Linked DNA regions of Saccharomyces cerevisiae S288C. The main gene of each other region encodes a partner of the protein of the gene in region 2 in a complex. Each region holds a gene or a part of one and is shown on either strand. Other genes may lie near its edges. The genes, in order: MRP2, RSM18, MRPS17 and MRP10.

Region 1 (3,740 bases), on a different chromosome or scaffold from region 2:
AGCATTGGACAAGCCTATTCAAGATATTAGTTACGATCCCGCAGTACAAACTTTATATGTGCTAATGGCAGATCAAACAATTCACAAATTCGGCAAGGACAGGTTGCCTTGCCAGGACGAATACGAACCAAGATGGAATTCTGGCTATTTGGTTTCAAGAAGGTCAATAGTTAAATCTGACCTCATCTGTGAGGTTGGGTTATGGAACCTTAGCGATAACTGCAAGAACACAGTATAATTCCCTCATTTCCAATAACATTGTCGCTGATAAAATCGTGATTCTCGATCAATGTGCTACGCGTCGTGCAGCGTGACAAGGGGCTAAAAAAAGATACAAGAATTCTTGTTGTTTCCAATTTGCTTCGCCTCAGAAAAAAAAATAAACAGATTATACAATTTTTGTTTGATTTGTATTGGGTACTACATGTTTTAGTAGTTGATACAAATACTTCTTTATCCTAATCGTATATATTTATTTTACCAGCAGGAATTCGTCTTTAATATCGTTTCGACCATCGATCATTCCTCTGAGTATTGCAAAAACATTTTTGGAACAACCCAAACTTAAAGTTACAAAACTCAAAAAAGGAACAAAATTAATAAAACAAAAGAATCGCTGTTAGAGGTTTATTGTTGCACTAATAGAAAATCATAGAACTTTAAAAATTATACTAGAAAGATGTCACAACAAGTTGGTAACAGTATCAGAAGAAAGCTGGTAATCGTTGGTGATGGTGCCTGTGGTAAGACATGTTTATTAATCGTCTTTTCCAAGGGCCAATTTCCAGAAGTCTACGTACCAACTGTCTTTGAAAACTATGTAGCAGATGTTGAAGTTGATGGGCGTCGTGTAGAGCTAGCGCTATGGGATACCGCTGGTCAAGAAGATTATGATAGACTAAGACCATTGTCATACCCAGACTCCAATGTCGTATTAATTTGTTTCTCTATCGATCTTCCAGATTCTTTAGAGAATGTACAAGAAAAATGGATTGCCGAAGTATTACATTTCTGTCAAGGTGTGCCAATTATTCTTGTTGGTTGTAAAGTGGATTTGAGAAACGACCCACAAACCATTGAACAATTAAGACAAGAAGGTCAACAACCCGTTACATCACAGGAGGGACAATCTGTAGCAGACCAGATTGGCGCAACCGGATACTACGAATGTTCGGCCAAGACTGGTTATGGTGTCAGAGAAGTGTTTGAGGCCGCCACTAGAGCTTCATTGATGGGTAAATCTAAAACGAATGGTAAAGCTAAGAAGAACACTACTGAAAAGAAGAAGAAGAAGTGTGTCTTGTTATAGGAGTGTCTCGATCTCTCAGTCGTTAACTTAGTGGCAGATACTGCCCTTTTTCAATCCCATTCCTTTTCTCATTGTATGTACGTATGCCTTTTTTTGTTATTTTAGCTCTAACTATAGCTACTTGTTTTTCTCCCAGTATGTGTATAATCTTATTCTTCTCTACATATAAGTGTATTGCTCAGTAAGTATTATCATCTATTAAAGAAGAATAAAAATTATCATGTATTTATTTACAAGTGCGTATCCTATATATATATATATATATACTTTCGCGATAAAATTTTTTACCAAATACCCTTCTTAACACCTGGCAAATTACCCTTCAGAGCGTTTTCTCTAAATTGATACCTACACAACCTAAAATCACTTAGAACAAATCTTGCATGTCCAGAGTCCACGCACCTATTTTTGATCTGCGTAGATCTCATGTAGTTTGGCAATGCATTTAGTTTTAACTGAGCCTCCAACCTCAGTTTTGTTGGAAGGTTCATATTTCTAGCGATGAATTTCAAAGATTTAACAAGGATTTCATTCTCTTTAAATTGTTGTCTTTTGAAGTTATCCCTAAGTATGCGAGCATTGATAAACCCTGGTGGTAGCTTGGTTTTTATAGGAAATCTGAAATTACCCATCGGTTAATGTATATATTTGTCAGTTTACCTTTTCTTTCGTTTTTCCTTTCAATCCTCTTTATCGCAGTTTGGTTCTTAGTTTGAATATTCCTCTGTTTTCGCTCTTTTCTCGTACAGCGCGAATTCTCCGCCAGCTTTAGAAAGTTGTAATCATTGGTGTTATTAAGGAATAAATAATTAGTCACATACATATGGTTATATATCGTACTCTATCTATCTAGGCATCTTGCTTTAAAAATTGCGCGAATCGGCTGGCTTCATGAATTCCACACTCGGTCTTGGCCTTGCCCTTCCATCTTCCTGCTCTCTCATCTTCACCTTCCTTGACGGGTTGTGTGGAATGGTAATCACCAATGGATCTATATCCAAGGTCCAAAAGTTCGTTGTATGGTACATTGTTTGCATCTATATACTGTTTAACCTGCTCGAACGTCCAATTGATCAATGGATTTATTTTTAAGATTCCATTAAGTTCGTCTATTTCAATAATCGACAGTTGGGAGCGGGCAGAACCTTGTGATTTTCTTCTACCAGTAAACACAGCACTTATATGTAGCTCTTTGTAGGCACGATGTGCAGGTTCCACTTTGGCCAGATAATCGTACTTGTCATCATCTTTCTCCCATAAGAAATCCCCGTATTTCGAGGCAAAATCTGCCTCCGATTCACATCCATCCGGCTTATATACGTGAATGGTTTGATTTTTAGGCTGGTAGTATTTTTTCTCAATCTCGTTTTTTAGTGTTAAAGTTTGTGGGAAATGGTGCAAAGTGTCTATAAATAATAGTTCTGGCATGTAGTATTTTTCAGATAGCTTTGACAACATATCGATAGTAACCAAGCCAGTCAAACCAAATGCAGTGGTTTGGAAAAGGTGAGGAAACGTTACGATAGACCATGCAATAATCTCCTGTGGCGTTTCCAGCTTGATTAGTTGTTCATTCCAATGATCCAACTGTTCTTGTGTGACAATTATATCATTATTCAAATGATAGGTCTTCATTTTATGAGTTGCTATGGGTTGATACCTTTGCTGGCCTTAGTTTTGATCTTAAAGCATTGAAAAGGTTACAAACAGTACAGTATACTTTTTTTATATCAATATAATACTATCTCTATGAGCTTTTACTTTGTCGAGATTTGCTGAGTCATGTTGTGGCTTTTCTTTTACTAGCCACGTGAAATGATGATAAAAATAAAAAGAATAACGACGGAATAAAGAACAGTATGATAAACCGTAAAGATATTTAGAATCAATAGGTGATGTCCACCCGGTAACAAGATGCCATTCATGTTAAACTAGGACAAATTTCCTTCTTGTCCCCCCACCATTCTCTTTTATCCAATTCTTTTGTCAGCGCGCATTAAAGAACAAGAACTTCGTACTTTTAACTACTAACTCCTGTTTGAGAAAGAGGCAAATATATAGAAAAATAAACCGATAAGATGAATGGAAACAGCACTAACAATGAACAATTGCAGCAAGAACTGGCCACTACTCAAGACCAAGTGGCTTCGATTATTGAGTCCTTCGTTGAATTAGGTGTCTCGATATATGATTTTCCTGGTACTCCAGAAGCCACCAAGGGAATGATCACCAACTTGCAAAGAAATGTGGATCGCTTGTACAAGCTGAACGTGAGAAGCAACGATCCTCAATCCAGCTTGTCTAAGGTGGACATTCCCTTGGAAGTTGTTCAATACATTGAGGACGGTAGAAATCCAGATATTTACACAAGAGAGTTCGTGGAAGCCATAAGAAGATCCAACCAATATCAAAGAGGCAAGATGCATGGATT
Region 2 (3,704 bases):
CGCAAAAACTGATAACACACCTAAAGAATCTATGACTAGTGTGATTTCTGATTCGGTTAAGTTGTCTGAAGCCGAGTTCACCTATCTATCTCAATACATCTCTCCTGAACATTTAAGCTCGAAAGGTATCGAAAAACTACAAAAGCAGTTTGTTGAGAACTCTTCTCTACAAATTGAGTCGTTTTTAAATGACGATAAATCAGAATTGTTAAAGAAGGTTATCAAACAAAAAGAGTTGGAACAGGAATGTCCTTATCATTCAAAAGATGTGAAAGCTCCGTGGAAAACGGCTATTCCTCCACACAAAGCCCGTTATTTGTACATCGACGGTAAGGAATACCGTAATTTCCAAACAGAAGCTGATATTCTTGAGGCGCTGAATAACAATGATTTGCCAAACTTTCAGTTTACTAAGGACGCAATTAAAATTATCTCCGATGCTTCCGGAAATAGTAGGGAAAACAATTTTGATGCAGAATTAGCGTTGATTGACCTAGCTGTATTTCACAAGAGCACAATTTTCAAGAAATACCTAGCTCTTCTAACTTCTTTGTGCCCAGTCAGTGAGCAAATCCTTATTAGAAGGTTTAGGCCAGGAATGGATTTCACATTGGCCACCAAATGTCGCTTTAATGAACTTTTGAAAAGCAATCCAGATATAATCGATGCTGTCTTGGAAGGTACTTTGTGCTTGACACCTTCTGCCGGTTGGGAATCCGGAGAGCTTGGTGGTTACGAATTGTACATGATGGACGACGACGAAGATAATAAGCAATACTTAAAGGAAGACGTTGAAGACGCTTCTGTTTATCGTGCGGATGACAGTGGTGATTCAGTATTGATTAATGATCCACCTGCTTGGAATACTTTCAATTTGGTCTTGAGAGATGAAAGTGTTTTGGAGTTTGTTAAGTACGTCAGCTGGAGCGCTAAATCTAGTAGATGGGATGTCAAAATGAAGTGGGATGTCAAATCATGTGATGAAGATGGTCAGGAAGATGAAGCGTAAACAATTAACCCGTCTTATTAAGTAAATGGCAGCTTAGATATTTATAAAGTTGTATAATAGAAGTAATAAAATTATTTGAAAAGTTATTCGTCAATTTCAGCTTATTCCTCTGGCGTGAATATCATTACCATAATCCAAATTCGAGTAAGCGAATAAAACGGGTATATTAAAGAAATATAAGAATGAATATAAGTTTAACTTAAGATCTAATTGCGATTCTTTTTACATATTGTATATTTACAGACAGAACTATGAAATGCCTTATTTTCTTAATTATTTCATGTGGAGAAGCATTAGTGTAGTACAGTTCACATTAATCCTATTGCCTGGCACCGTCTAATGGCTTTCGATAGTCTTCTTTGATTCTTTGCCGATAAGCCTGTGATATCCCTATGTTGGATTCTTCCCGTGGAGGTCACATATCTTGAAAGTATTCTTGGTCTTGCATAAAATTCTAGTGGATTTGCACCGGACTTCATTATATCGTTCCTGTTTGAGTTCTTGTTTGCCTGATATTTTCTATCTAAATGGATTCGTCCCATAGAGAAGTCAAATGGATCGTAGATAGTACCTTTGGGAAGTTTTTTGGACAAAGACTGATCGATTTTCTTTGTTTGTTGCGTTCTCCCCATTTCAATATTGACACTCTTCTTTTCTTTGATACCGAAATTGTATAGAGCACGTTTAAATGTGGAGCTTACTGCTCCCTTGATGATAGGTTGCATACCGTTTTGAATTTTTATGCCTGTGGTGGCATTCATCTTGAACATCCGAAGTTTTGTGTAGAACCTTGCCTTTTTGGTTAGAACTGTAACACTGTTAATAATGGACTCATATTTAAGTATGTAAAGTAATCCTAGATATTTTTTCCCCCAACAGGTTACCCTACAATGCAATTTAAAGGCATAATAGAACATCTAATAGAAGTGGGTGATTATAATGAGTAAGAAGACGTAATGATCATAAAACAAAATACTAATAAGCTATGGTGCAATGCAAGATCCCAATATTTGCCAGCATTGCCAGTTGAAGGATAATCCAGGCGCATTAATTTGGGTGAAGTGTGATAGTTGCCCGCAGTGGGTCCACGTGAAATGCGTGCCTTTGAAACGCATTCACTATTCAAATCTTACAAGTTCTGAAGTTCTGTCTTATCCAAATTCTGCGAAGCAAATCAAGAGCTACCGTTGTCCTAATCATAAGGAAGGAGAATATCTTACCGCATACGCTCTCATCACACAAAAAGGAAAGCGGCAAAGGAATAAAGAAAACCCTGAAGATAGTCATATAAATAAGCGGTATAATTTCAGAAAGAAGAAATTACTTGACTATATCGCTTTGAATGAGGGTGAATCGAAAAGGGATAAAATGAATCACCCTCATAAGGAGAGTTTCATGAAATCTTTTGAAAAATGGAAAAATGGCTCAAATATTATAAACGCCGCTGACTTTGCTGAAAAGTTTGATAATATAGATGTGCCGTACAAGATCATCGATCCACTGAATAGCGGAGTATATGTACCGAATGTGGGCACAGACAATGGATGCCTCACAGTTAATTATATCACCGAAATGATAGGCGAGGATTATCATGTTGATGTAATGGACGTTCAATCACAAATGAATGAAAATTGGAACTTGGGATCTTGGAATGAATATTTTACAAATACTGAACCAGACAGGAGGGATCGAATAAGGAATGTTATATCATTAGAAGTCTCTAATATTGAGGGATTAGAACTAGAGAGGCCCACTGCAGTTAGGCAGAATGATCTTGTTGATAAAATTTGGAGTTTCAATGGACATTTAGAAAAAGTCAATGGGGAGAAGGCGGAGGAGAATGACCCCAAGCCAAAAGTGACCAAATATATTTTGATGTCTGTAAAGGATGCTTATACGGATTTTCATTTGGATTTTGCCGGTACCTCTGTTTATTATAACGTTATCTCAGGACAGAAGAAGTTTTTATTATTTCCACCTACCCAATCAAACATAGATAAGTATATTGAGTGGTCTTTAAAAGAAGACCAAAATAGTGTTTTCCTCGGTGATATTCTTGAGGATGGTATTGCGATGGAATTAGATGCTGGTGATTTGTTTATGATTCCAGCTGGATATATTCATGCAGTTTATACACCAGTAGACTCTTTGGTATTTGGAGGCAACTTTTTAACCATCCGTGATTTGGAGACACACCTTAAAATTGTGGAAATTGAAAAGTTAACAAAGGTTCCTAGAAGATTTACCTTCCCGAAGTTTGATCAAGTGATGGGTAAATTATGCGAGTATCTTGCGCTTGATAAAAATAAAATCACTAGTGATGTCAGTGATGGGGATTTGCTTTCCAGGACCACTAATTGCGCAATTCAATCACTTCATGCATACGTTATAAAACCTGAAGTTAAGTACAAGCCGTTAAATTTCACTTCAAAGAAGCATTTAGCGAAAGCTTTAGCCGATCTTATTTCGTAAAATTTCTTCTTGTCCGCCACGTTCTTGTATCTTTTATTTCATCCTATGCTCTCGATGAATGAGATCTACTTTAGCAATTGATACAGTATAACCCTGACATTACATTTAGGGAATAATCGCCCCAATATAGGTTACAAAACATTAATATATATGTAAATATATGTGCGCGTATATATATATATATATATATATAAAGGGAAAATTAATATTCTATCATTAAAGT
Region 3 (3,855 bases), on a different chromosome or scaffold from region 2:
TAGCCAAGTTAGAATACAAAATTATTTTAGGTAAACCTATACCCTTGTAATATTTGTTTCCAGCAGTTTTTACAATACTGAGATACACCCACTTAAAGAGTATTGCATTAGCACTGACGTTAGAAATGTTGCTAAGATAATGTATGAACCCATATATTATGATCGAGGAGGTTAAAGGAATGCTTAATAAGCCACGTTCAGTTTGCGCATATACGTCCAATGCCTTTGTAGTGCTGATGTTTAACATATTTCGTAGAACATTCTCAGGGAAAAGGCAGCGTAGTTGCCATAATCCAATGTCAAAACTTGTCTTTTCAGGGTTTAAAAGAAATAAACTAGTTATCCCTAATGGTATCACGTATCGTGTAATTTTTTGCCACTGATAAAACAGGGATAGTACAGAAGACTGGATGGTTACTGTAGGTCTTTTTATGAAATTTGTTTTCTTGCATTGAGGACATTCGCCAAATTTCACTAACACATAAGGTGGATGATTATCCCGTTTGGTATAAAGAGACATTAGATTGAACACGTAGTCATTTTGAAACGGTACTGATTTTTGCCCCCAAATGGGACGAGTTTCCCATATTTCTGTAAGAGAGAAAGTCGTCATAAAATCATGGTGCCCATCAACGAGACATTTTAAACAGGTGATTATAGGTAAATCAGCATCCTTTGGTAGGTCCACTGTGTTCGGAAGAAAAAGTTCAACATGCATTTGATAGAGCCATCTTATATAGCAGCGTTTATGAATTTGTAAGTTGCAACCGCACGTGTGCTGTAGCCATGTAGAGTCATATGTGGATTCTTCCAAACATATCCAGCATATGCATCTTTTTTTTATGAGAGATAAAAAAAAATGAGGTGGGGTCATATAAAACTTGGACTATTTCCTTGGAATTTTCTTGTTTGTAAAATCAGAGCAGAGCTCTTTTATTTACTTTTGTTTTTGACGATGGGGACGAGCGATGTACTCACATCTTCGATATCACTTGCCTGAAAATATATAAATGCGTTAAACGATAGAAAATCAAAAACATCGTTCTTTTCACTAGAATATTTTAAAGTCAAAACATAACACTTTACTATTTACGTAACGAAGTCTTGTAGTTGTATATATTTACAGAGTGTAGTGCTTTAGTTGAGAAAATATGACACTCGGCTTTCCTCTTTCTTTTATTTACTGGCTTGGTTGTTGCATATCCATCATGACGTGCTTTCTTAACAAATTTTTTTTGATGTTTTTTTTCAAGGTCAAAGGATCCTCAACACCATGATCCTTCAAAAATTGATCACATTTTAGATCATTCGACAACAATTCGGATAATCGCGTTTGAATACGATCAATGAGACTTCTTTGTTTCTCCAAATTAACCTCCAATCCAGAGATGTCTAACTGTAAAAGTTGCCTCACTGTTTCTTGTGAAAAATCTTGAATGCCGTACCTTTGTTTAATCTCCAATAACTCTTTCGGCGTTGACCCGCTAGATAAAGCATCTTGGATGGTCCTAATATCACGTAAAAGGGTTGTTTTTTCATTTAGTTTATTCTCCCTCACTGATCTTTTATCCAAAAATTCTTTTGCCTTTTGGGCTTCTTCTTTTGCAACGCTTAACTGAGCTTCTGATTCGTATAATGCAAATTGTTGACCCTTGTTTCTAATAATTTCTGCAATGGCAAAAAACTTCCTCTTTGAAAGCGGCCTCGTCGCTTCTATCCTTACTAAATCACCCTCCCTTGATATTTCACCTTCATCATGCACTAAATAATCTCTTCTATGAAATAACTCCTTGTTGATTTTCTTATTAAAGACTTTTGTTTCTACACGTACTTTAACCGTCTTTTGCATCTTCCCTTGGGAGACGACCAAGCCTAAAAAATTTTGGCGAGCCATTACAGTTTAACTGATCTTGATTTGACTTTTGAAATCTCTAACCCGAATTCAACTCCCTGAGTTTACTTCTGTTTGGCCTTATTTGTGGATTTCCTCTAACAGTTTGATGCTCGCATTGGTTTGGCACAATCCCAAATTGCTTCAGAATTCTAATCTTATGAAATAACAATCATGTTACCCGGTTGAATCGTTACCCGACATCTCTGACTCTTCTTGAGGTATAGACTCCTCCTTTTCGGAGTCATGACTCTCAGAGGAGTCATCGAAGTCAGCATTGAGCTGTGAAGGACCTTGATAAGCTAGTCGAAAGATCTCCAACGAATATAAATGGATGTATATATAGCAGGCTCGAGTGGCACAATTTTCTTCTCTTCAAGTTCCAGTGAATTAGTCTTTCTCGTGTGTACCAATCTTACTGTATTGATTGCTGCGCGATCTAACCATCAACTAACCACAGTTTATTGGAAAAACGTTTCCTAATACCAGGAAGATAACATGCTTAGGACAAGAGTGACTGCTCTCCTTTGTAGGGCTACTGTCAGGTCAAGCACCAATTATGTTTCATTAGCGAGGACTAGATCATTCCATTCTCAATCTATTTTGCTCAAAACAGCCGCTACAGACATAACGTCTACACAGTACAGCAGGATTTTCAATCCTGACTTGAAAAACATTGATAGACCGCTAGATACTTTTGCTAGACGTCATTTAGGTCCTTCTCCTAGCGACGTTAAGAAAATGTTAAAAACAATGGGTTATAGCGATTTAAACGCATTTATAGAAGAGCTCGTTCCTCCCAATATTTTGAAGAGAAGACCCTTGAAACTAGAAGCTCCTAGTAAGGGATTCTGTGAACAAGAAATGCTTCAACATCTAGAAAAGATTGCCAATAAGAACCACTATAAAGTTAAAAATTTCATAGGTAAGGGTTACTACGGTACGATTTTACCACCGGTTATACAAAGAAACCTGCTAGAAAGTCCAGAATGGTATACTTCTTATACGCCCTATCAACCCGAAATTTCTCAAGGTAGGCTAGAAGCGCTATTAAACTTTCAAACGGTTGTTTCAGATTTGACTGGTTTGCCTGTGGCGAACGCCTCATTGTTGGATGAGGGTACAGCGGCTGGAGAAGCTATGCTCTTGTCATTCAATATTTCCAGAAAAAAGAAACTAAAATACGTAATAGATAAAAAATTACACCAGCAAACAAAGAGTGTCCTTCACACCAGAGCCAAGCCGTTCAATATTGAAATTATTGAAGTTGACTGTTCGGATATCAAGAAAGCTGTGGATGTTTTAAAGAACCCCGACGTATCTGGTTGTTTGGTTCAATATCCAGCGACAGATGGTTCAATCTTACCGCCTGACTCGATGAAACAGTTATCTGATGCGTTACACTCTCACAAGTCTTTGCTCTCTGTGGCCTCAGATTTAATGGCTTTGACACTTCTAAAACCACCTGCTCATTACGGTGCTGATATCGTCCTGGGTTCCTCTCAACGATTTGGTGTCCCAATGGGTTATGGTGGTCCTCATGCTGCTTTTTTCGCTGTTATTGATAAATTAAACAGAAAAATTCCAGGTAGAATTGTCGGTATCTCTAAAGACCGCTTAGGCAAGACGGCCTTGCGGTTGGCCCTCCAAACAAGAGAACAACATATCAAGCGTGATAAGGCAACTTCAAATATATGTACCGCTCAAGCTTTACTGGCTAATGTTGCTTCGAGCTACTGTGTTTATCACGGTCCTAAGGGCCTACAGAATATTTCCAGGAGGATATTTAGCTTAACATCAATATTGGCAAATGCCATCGAAAATGACAGTTGCCCTCACGAACTAATTAATAAAACATGGTTTGATACTTTGACTATAAAGTTAGGTAATGGCATATCCTCCGAGCAGTTATTGGACAAGGCCTTGAAAGAATTTAATATCAATTTGTTTGCCGTGGACACCAC
Region 4 (3,755 bases), on a different chromosome or scaffold from region 2:
CTTGAAGCAGGAGAACAGCTCAGTGCAGATGAGGAAGTTTCGTCCAGCGCAAATAAAATAGTGAATGTAGGTGTTTTATGGAATAAAGACACGAATAATGACTTACTAATTGTTGAAAATTATCTCAAAAGCCTCAAAAAAAATTTAACTAGAGACAGGTAGAAAATTATTCAAACCTTGTAAATAGTGTTATATATATGTGTTAGACTTAAAAGCGCTAATAAACGTTCCTGCTCGCATTTAACTTCTGTTCCAATTTTCCTATTTTTTAGTTAGCTTGTTCGGCAGATTTCAAATTCATTGAGTCCGAGGAAACAAAAGGATGGGAAGAGCTCAAAATTTGGAGATGGGTTTCATATACAACACGTTGGTTAGCAAGAACCTAAGGATCCGTCTATAGAAAGAACCTCGAAAAATCTTCGAAAGATTTTGTTGACTGAGAGTGGAAAAAACTGATATTACTTTCTCGGTATAGAGGGCAACATTTGCAAAAAGTAATAAACAAATAGGGGAGCACAATATGCAGTTGAGCAAGGCTGCTGAGATGTGTTATGAGATAACAAACTCTTACTTACACATAGACCAGAAATCTCAGATAATAGCAAGTACACAAGAAGCGATACGGTTGACAAGAAAATACTTACTAAGTGAAATTTTTGTACGTTGGAGTCCACTGAATGGGGAAATATCATTCTCGTACAACGGAGGAAAAGATTGCCAGGTATTACTACTGTTATATCTGAGTTGCTTATGGGAATATTTCTTCATTAAGGCTCAAAATTCCCAATTCGATTTCGAGTTTCAAAGCTTCCCCATGCAAAGACTTCCAACTGTTTTCATTGATCAAGAAGAAACTTTCCCTACATTAGAGAATTTTGTACTGGAAACCTCAGAGCGATATTGCCTTTCCTTATACGAATCACAAAGGCAATCTGGTGCATCGGTCAATATGGCAGACGCATTTAGAGATTTTATAAAGATATACCCTGAGACCGAAGCTATAGTGATAGGTATTAGACACACAGACCCATTTGGTGAAGCATTAAAGCCTATTCAAAGAACAGATTCTAACTGGCCTGATTTTATGAGGTTGCAACCTCTCTTACACTGGGACTTAACCAATATATGGAGTTTCTTACTGTATTCTAATGAGCCAATTTGTGGACTATATGGTAAAGGTTTCACATCAATCGGCGGAATTAACAACTCATTGCCTAACCCACACTTGAGAAAGGACTCCAATAATCCAGCCTTGCATTTTGAATGGGAAATCATTCATGCATTTGGCAAGGACGCAGAAGGCGAACGTAGTTCCGCTATAAACACGTCACCTATTTCCGTGGTGGATAAGGAAAGATTCAGCAAATACCATGACAATTACTATCCTGGCTGGTATTTGGTTGATGACACTTTAGAGAGAGCAGGCAGGATCAAGAATTAAGTACGGTTTAACGGAGGAAAGAAAATAAAATGCTGATGTTACTATTAGATTAAAAGTTTATATATTTTCCGTTGAGACTATTTAATTTGTATATACAAGGCCATGACTTTAATATTATCAAGTTTTCATTCTTGCTGCTTTTGGATATAAAATTAATCATGGGGTTTACCGTTGATCCTATCATACAGCCTAGCGGCGTGATAGTTAATATTGCTCTTTTGAACGTTGTTTCTTTTGCCGAGGGCACTTTCACTAGTGCAACTTTTCAATTCCGTTACTAAGCCAGCACATTTAGGGCTCATATGACCATATGAAGACCAGCATTGTAATAAGTTTGACATTAAAACAAGACATTTGTTCGCTTCTTGCCTAATGATAGGTTTCTTCACTTTTAGTCTGGGAAGAGGGGGTAATCTATAAACTGGTGGTTTTCCGGACATTAATGGGCACTCTTTATTTTAGATGGAAGTTTCGGCGAGCCCTCGTGTTGCTATGGTAAGACTTTTGTCTCACTTAAAGCCTCAAAGCTTTTATATTCTGCCTAAAATACTGGGAAAAGAATTAATATGTAAAGTCCGCATTACCCGGAGAACGAACCTGTCATCATATATAATAACCAAAGATGTGCGTAAGGGAGAAATTTTGCAATGAGATATCAATGTAATGACATGTTTTTAATACGTACACACTAAATAGATGATTTTTAATTAGAGGAAAGGAATGGAAAAGAAGTAGGTGTTGACAAAGGCGCTGAAGCATTGGCCGACAAAAAAATATTAAGAGTAACCACATTCGACTAGATGGTGGTTATAACAAAAAGAGGAAAAACCCTGCCTCGAACGGGTGAAGAGAACATGGGGTAAAAGAAAAGAATACATGGAACGAGAAGGGAAATAAACACGGATCAATGAGTTGTATGAATCAGATCACCTTGGTGGGAAGATGACTTCTCCGGTTAAGCAAGTGATCAGATCATCCTTTTCAGTGTAAGCTCTTGCTACAACAACATATTTGCCAGGTGGAACCTCGCCTGGGATCTCAACTATTTTCTTAATGTTGTATTCACCCGGTTCAATTGGACAGGATAAGCCTTCGATATCGTTATCTTCTAATGTTTCACACAAATCAAAAGTCTGGGATAACAGTCTGATGTATCCTAGACGGACTTCAACGTCGATATATGCCCCCTCTTCTATAGTTTCAAAGACCTCACCGTTAGCAGAAATAGTCAAATTTTCGCCACGAACAGGAGGGTTAGGGTCCAAATTGACCTCTTTGATTTCCACAAGTTGCTTGTCTAGAATGTCACATTGGTAAAGTGGAGATTCGCCGTTAATTGGTTTGGTGTTTGGTGGGGGAAGGGCGTTGAATATGCCAATCACACCCGCATTGACAGCAGCTGTGTAAAGAAATAGCAAGGCGAATAGAGCTTTCAAGCTGTGGGTCATTTTGGAAGGCGTGCTAGCTTTGAAGGAGAAGATTTAATATGGTTATGCTTTTCTGCCTTGGCGAATCAGCTCTTTAAGTAGCGCCAGTCTTTTATATTTCCCCTCCCGAGTGTTGATTAAAGTTTTTTTATTATCAGGGATTCCACCCTCTTTCAATAGATCCAAACCGTGGGAGGTGACGTTTCGGCACGATGAACGTAATAATTATTGTGATAATAATATAATGTAATATAACATAGTAGTATTATATATATATATATATATATATATAAATAGGAAAGAAAGGACAAGGACAAAAAGGAAAAGAAAACTGCAATTGTTGAATATGTAGTTACTAGTTCTCATTCCTTCTTTTTTTTTTTAATTTTTTATTTGGTCATTTTGACCATAGTAAATGGAATGCTCTTAGAATGTGCTTGTTGTGTATCGTATCGTAGCAAATGGCGTAATGAAAAAGTTTCTGATTTTTGTAGTCTTTTTTTTATTGTGAAAATTATTTTTATTCGTCGAGTTAGGGAGGGCATGCCGTCGTGTTATAAGAAATAGCCGGCTCTTTGATTATTATGGTTTGCCGTGGATTCTCTTATGTAGTCATCGGGAACAGCCGAGAAAATTTTGAAAGTAGGTTCCAGATCCTCATCGACCTTCATTACACTCGCGACATTACCACATCTATAACAGTAATTTGGCGCGGACCACACGGTTACAACGTCCTTTTCAGGAAAATGGTACTTGAACCCCTCCATAACCAGTTGGTGAGCCCGGGCAATAAGGTTCAGTCCATTAACGTGGTTAAACTCTCTAGCAACTTTACTGCCAAAGAGCCATCCTGCACCACGAGGGGAAACTTGCCAAGCCTCTACATT

The links.
Region 1: RSM18 (region 2) and MRP2 share a complex: the UniProt entries of both Saccharomyces cerevisiae proteins name them as parts of the mitochondrial small ribosomal subunit.
Region 3: RSM18 (region 2) and MRPS17 share a complex: the UniProt entries of both Saccharomyces cerevisiae proteins name them as parts of the mitochondrial small ribosomal subunit.
Region 4: RSM18 (region 2) and MRP10 share a complex: the UniProt entries of both Saccharomyces cerevisiae proteins name them as parts of the mitochondrial small ribosomal subunit.

What each region holds. Positions count from the first base shown.
Region 1 is NC_001148.4:874,689-878,428, forward strand, and holds MRP2 (mitochondrial 37S ribosomal protein uS14m MRP2), read right to left. Parts: upstream 1,942-3,740; coding exon 1,594-1,941; downstream 1-1,593. Other genes in the region: MMS1 (Mms1p), read left to right, coding at 1-238; Rho family GTPase RHO1, read left to right, coding at 680-1,309; MET16 (phosphoadenylyl-sulfate reductase (thioredoxin)), read right to left, coding at 2,159-2,944; mediator complex subunit NUT2, read left to right, coding at 3,388-3,740. UniProt on the Saccharomyces cerevisiae protein: Component of the mitochondrial ribosome (mitoribosome), a dedicated translation machinery responsible for the synthesis of mitochondrial genome-encoded proteins, including at least some of the essential transmembrane subunits of the mitochondrial respiratory chain.
Region 2 is NC_001137.3:252,654-256,357, forward strand, and holds RSM18 (mitochondrial 37S ribosomal protein bS18m RSM18), read right to left. Parts: upstream 1,735-3,704; coding exon 1,318-1,734; downstream 1-1,317. Other genes in the region: TPA1 (oxidative DNA demethylase), read left to right, coding at 1-1,009; JHD1 ([Histone H3]-lysine-36 demethylase), read left to right, coding at 2,003-3,481. UniProt on the Saccharomyces cerevisiae protein: Component of the mitochondrial ribosome (mitoribosome), a dedicated translation machinery responsible for the synthesis of mitochondrial genome-encoded proteins, including at least some of the essential transmembrane subunits of the mitochondrial respiratory chain.
Region 3 is NC_001145.3:635,111-638,965, forward strand, and holds MRPS17 (mitochondrial 37S ribosomal protein uS17m MRPS17), read right to left. Parts: upstream 1,895-3,855; coding exon 1,181-1,894; downstream 1-1,180. Other genes in the region: YMR187C (uncharacterized protein), read right to left, coding at 1-874; GCV2 (glycine decarboxylase subunit P), read left to right, coding at 2,390-3,855. UniProt on the Saccharomyces cerevisiae protein: Component of the mitochondrial ribosome (mitoribosome), a dedicated translation machinery responsible for the synthesis of mitochondrial genome-encoded proteins, including at least some of the essential transmembrane subunits of the mitochondrial respiratory chain.
Region 4 is NC_001136.10:370,374-374,128, reverse strand, and holds MRP10 (mitochondrial 37S ribosomal protein mS37 MRP10), read right to left. Parts: upstream 1,882-3,755; coding exon 1,594-1,881; downstream 1-1,593. Other genes in the region: MTF2 (Mtf2p), read left to right, coding at 1-162; FAD1 (FMN adenylyltransferase), read left to right, coding at 521-1,441; NPC2 (sterol transporter), read right to left, coding at 2,368-2,889; type 2A-related serine/threonine-protein phosphatase SIT4, read right to left, coding at 3,423-3,755. UniProt on the Saccharomyces cerevisiae protein: Component of the mitochondrial ribosome (mitoribosome), a dedicated translation machinery responsible for the synthesis of mitochondrial genome-encoded proteins, including at least some of the essential transmembrane subunits of the mitochondrial respiratory chain.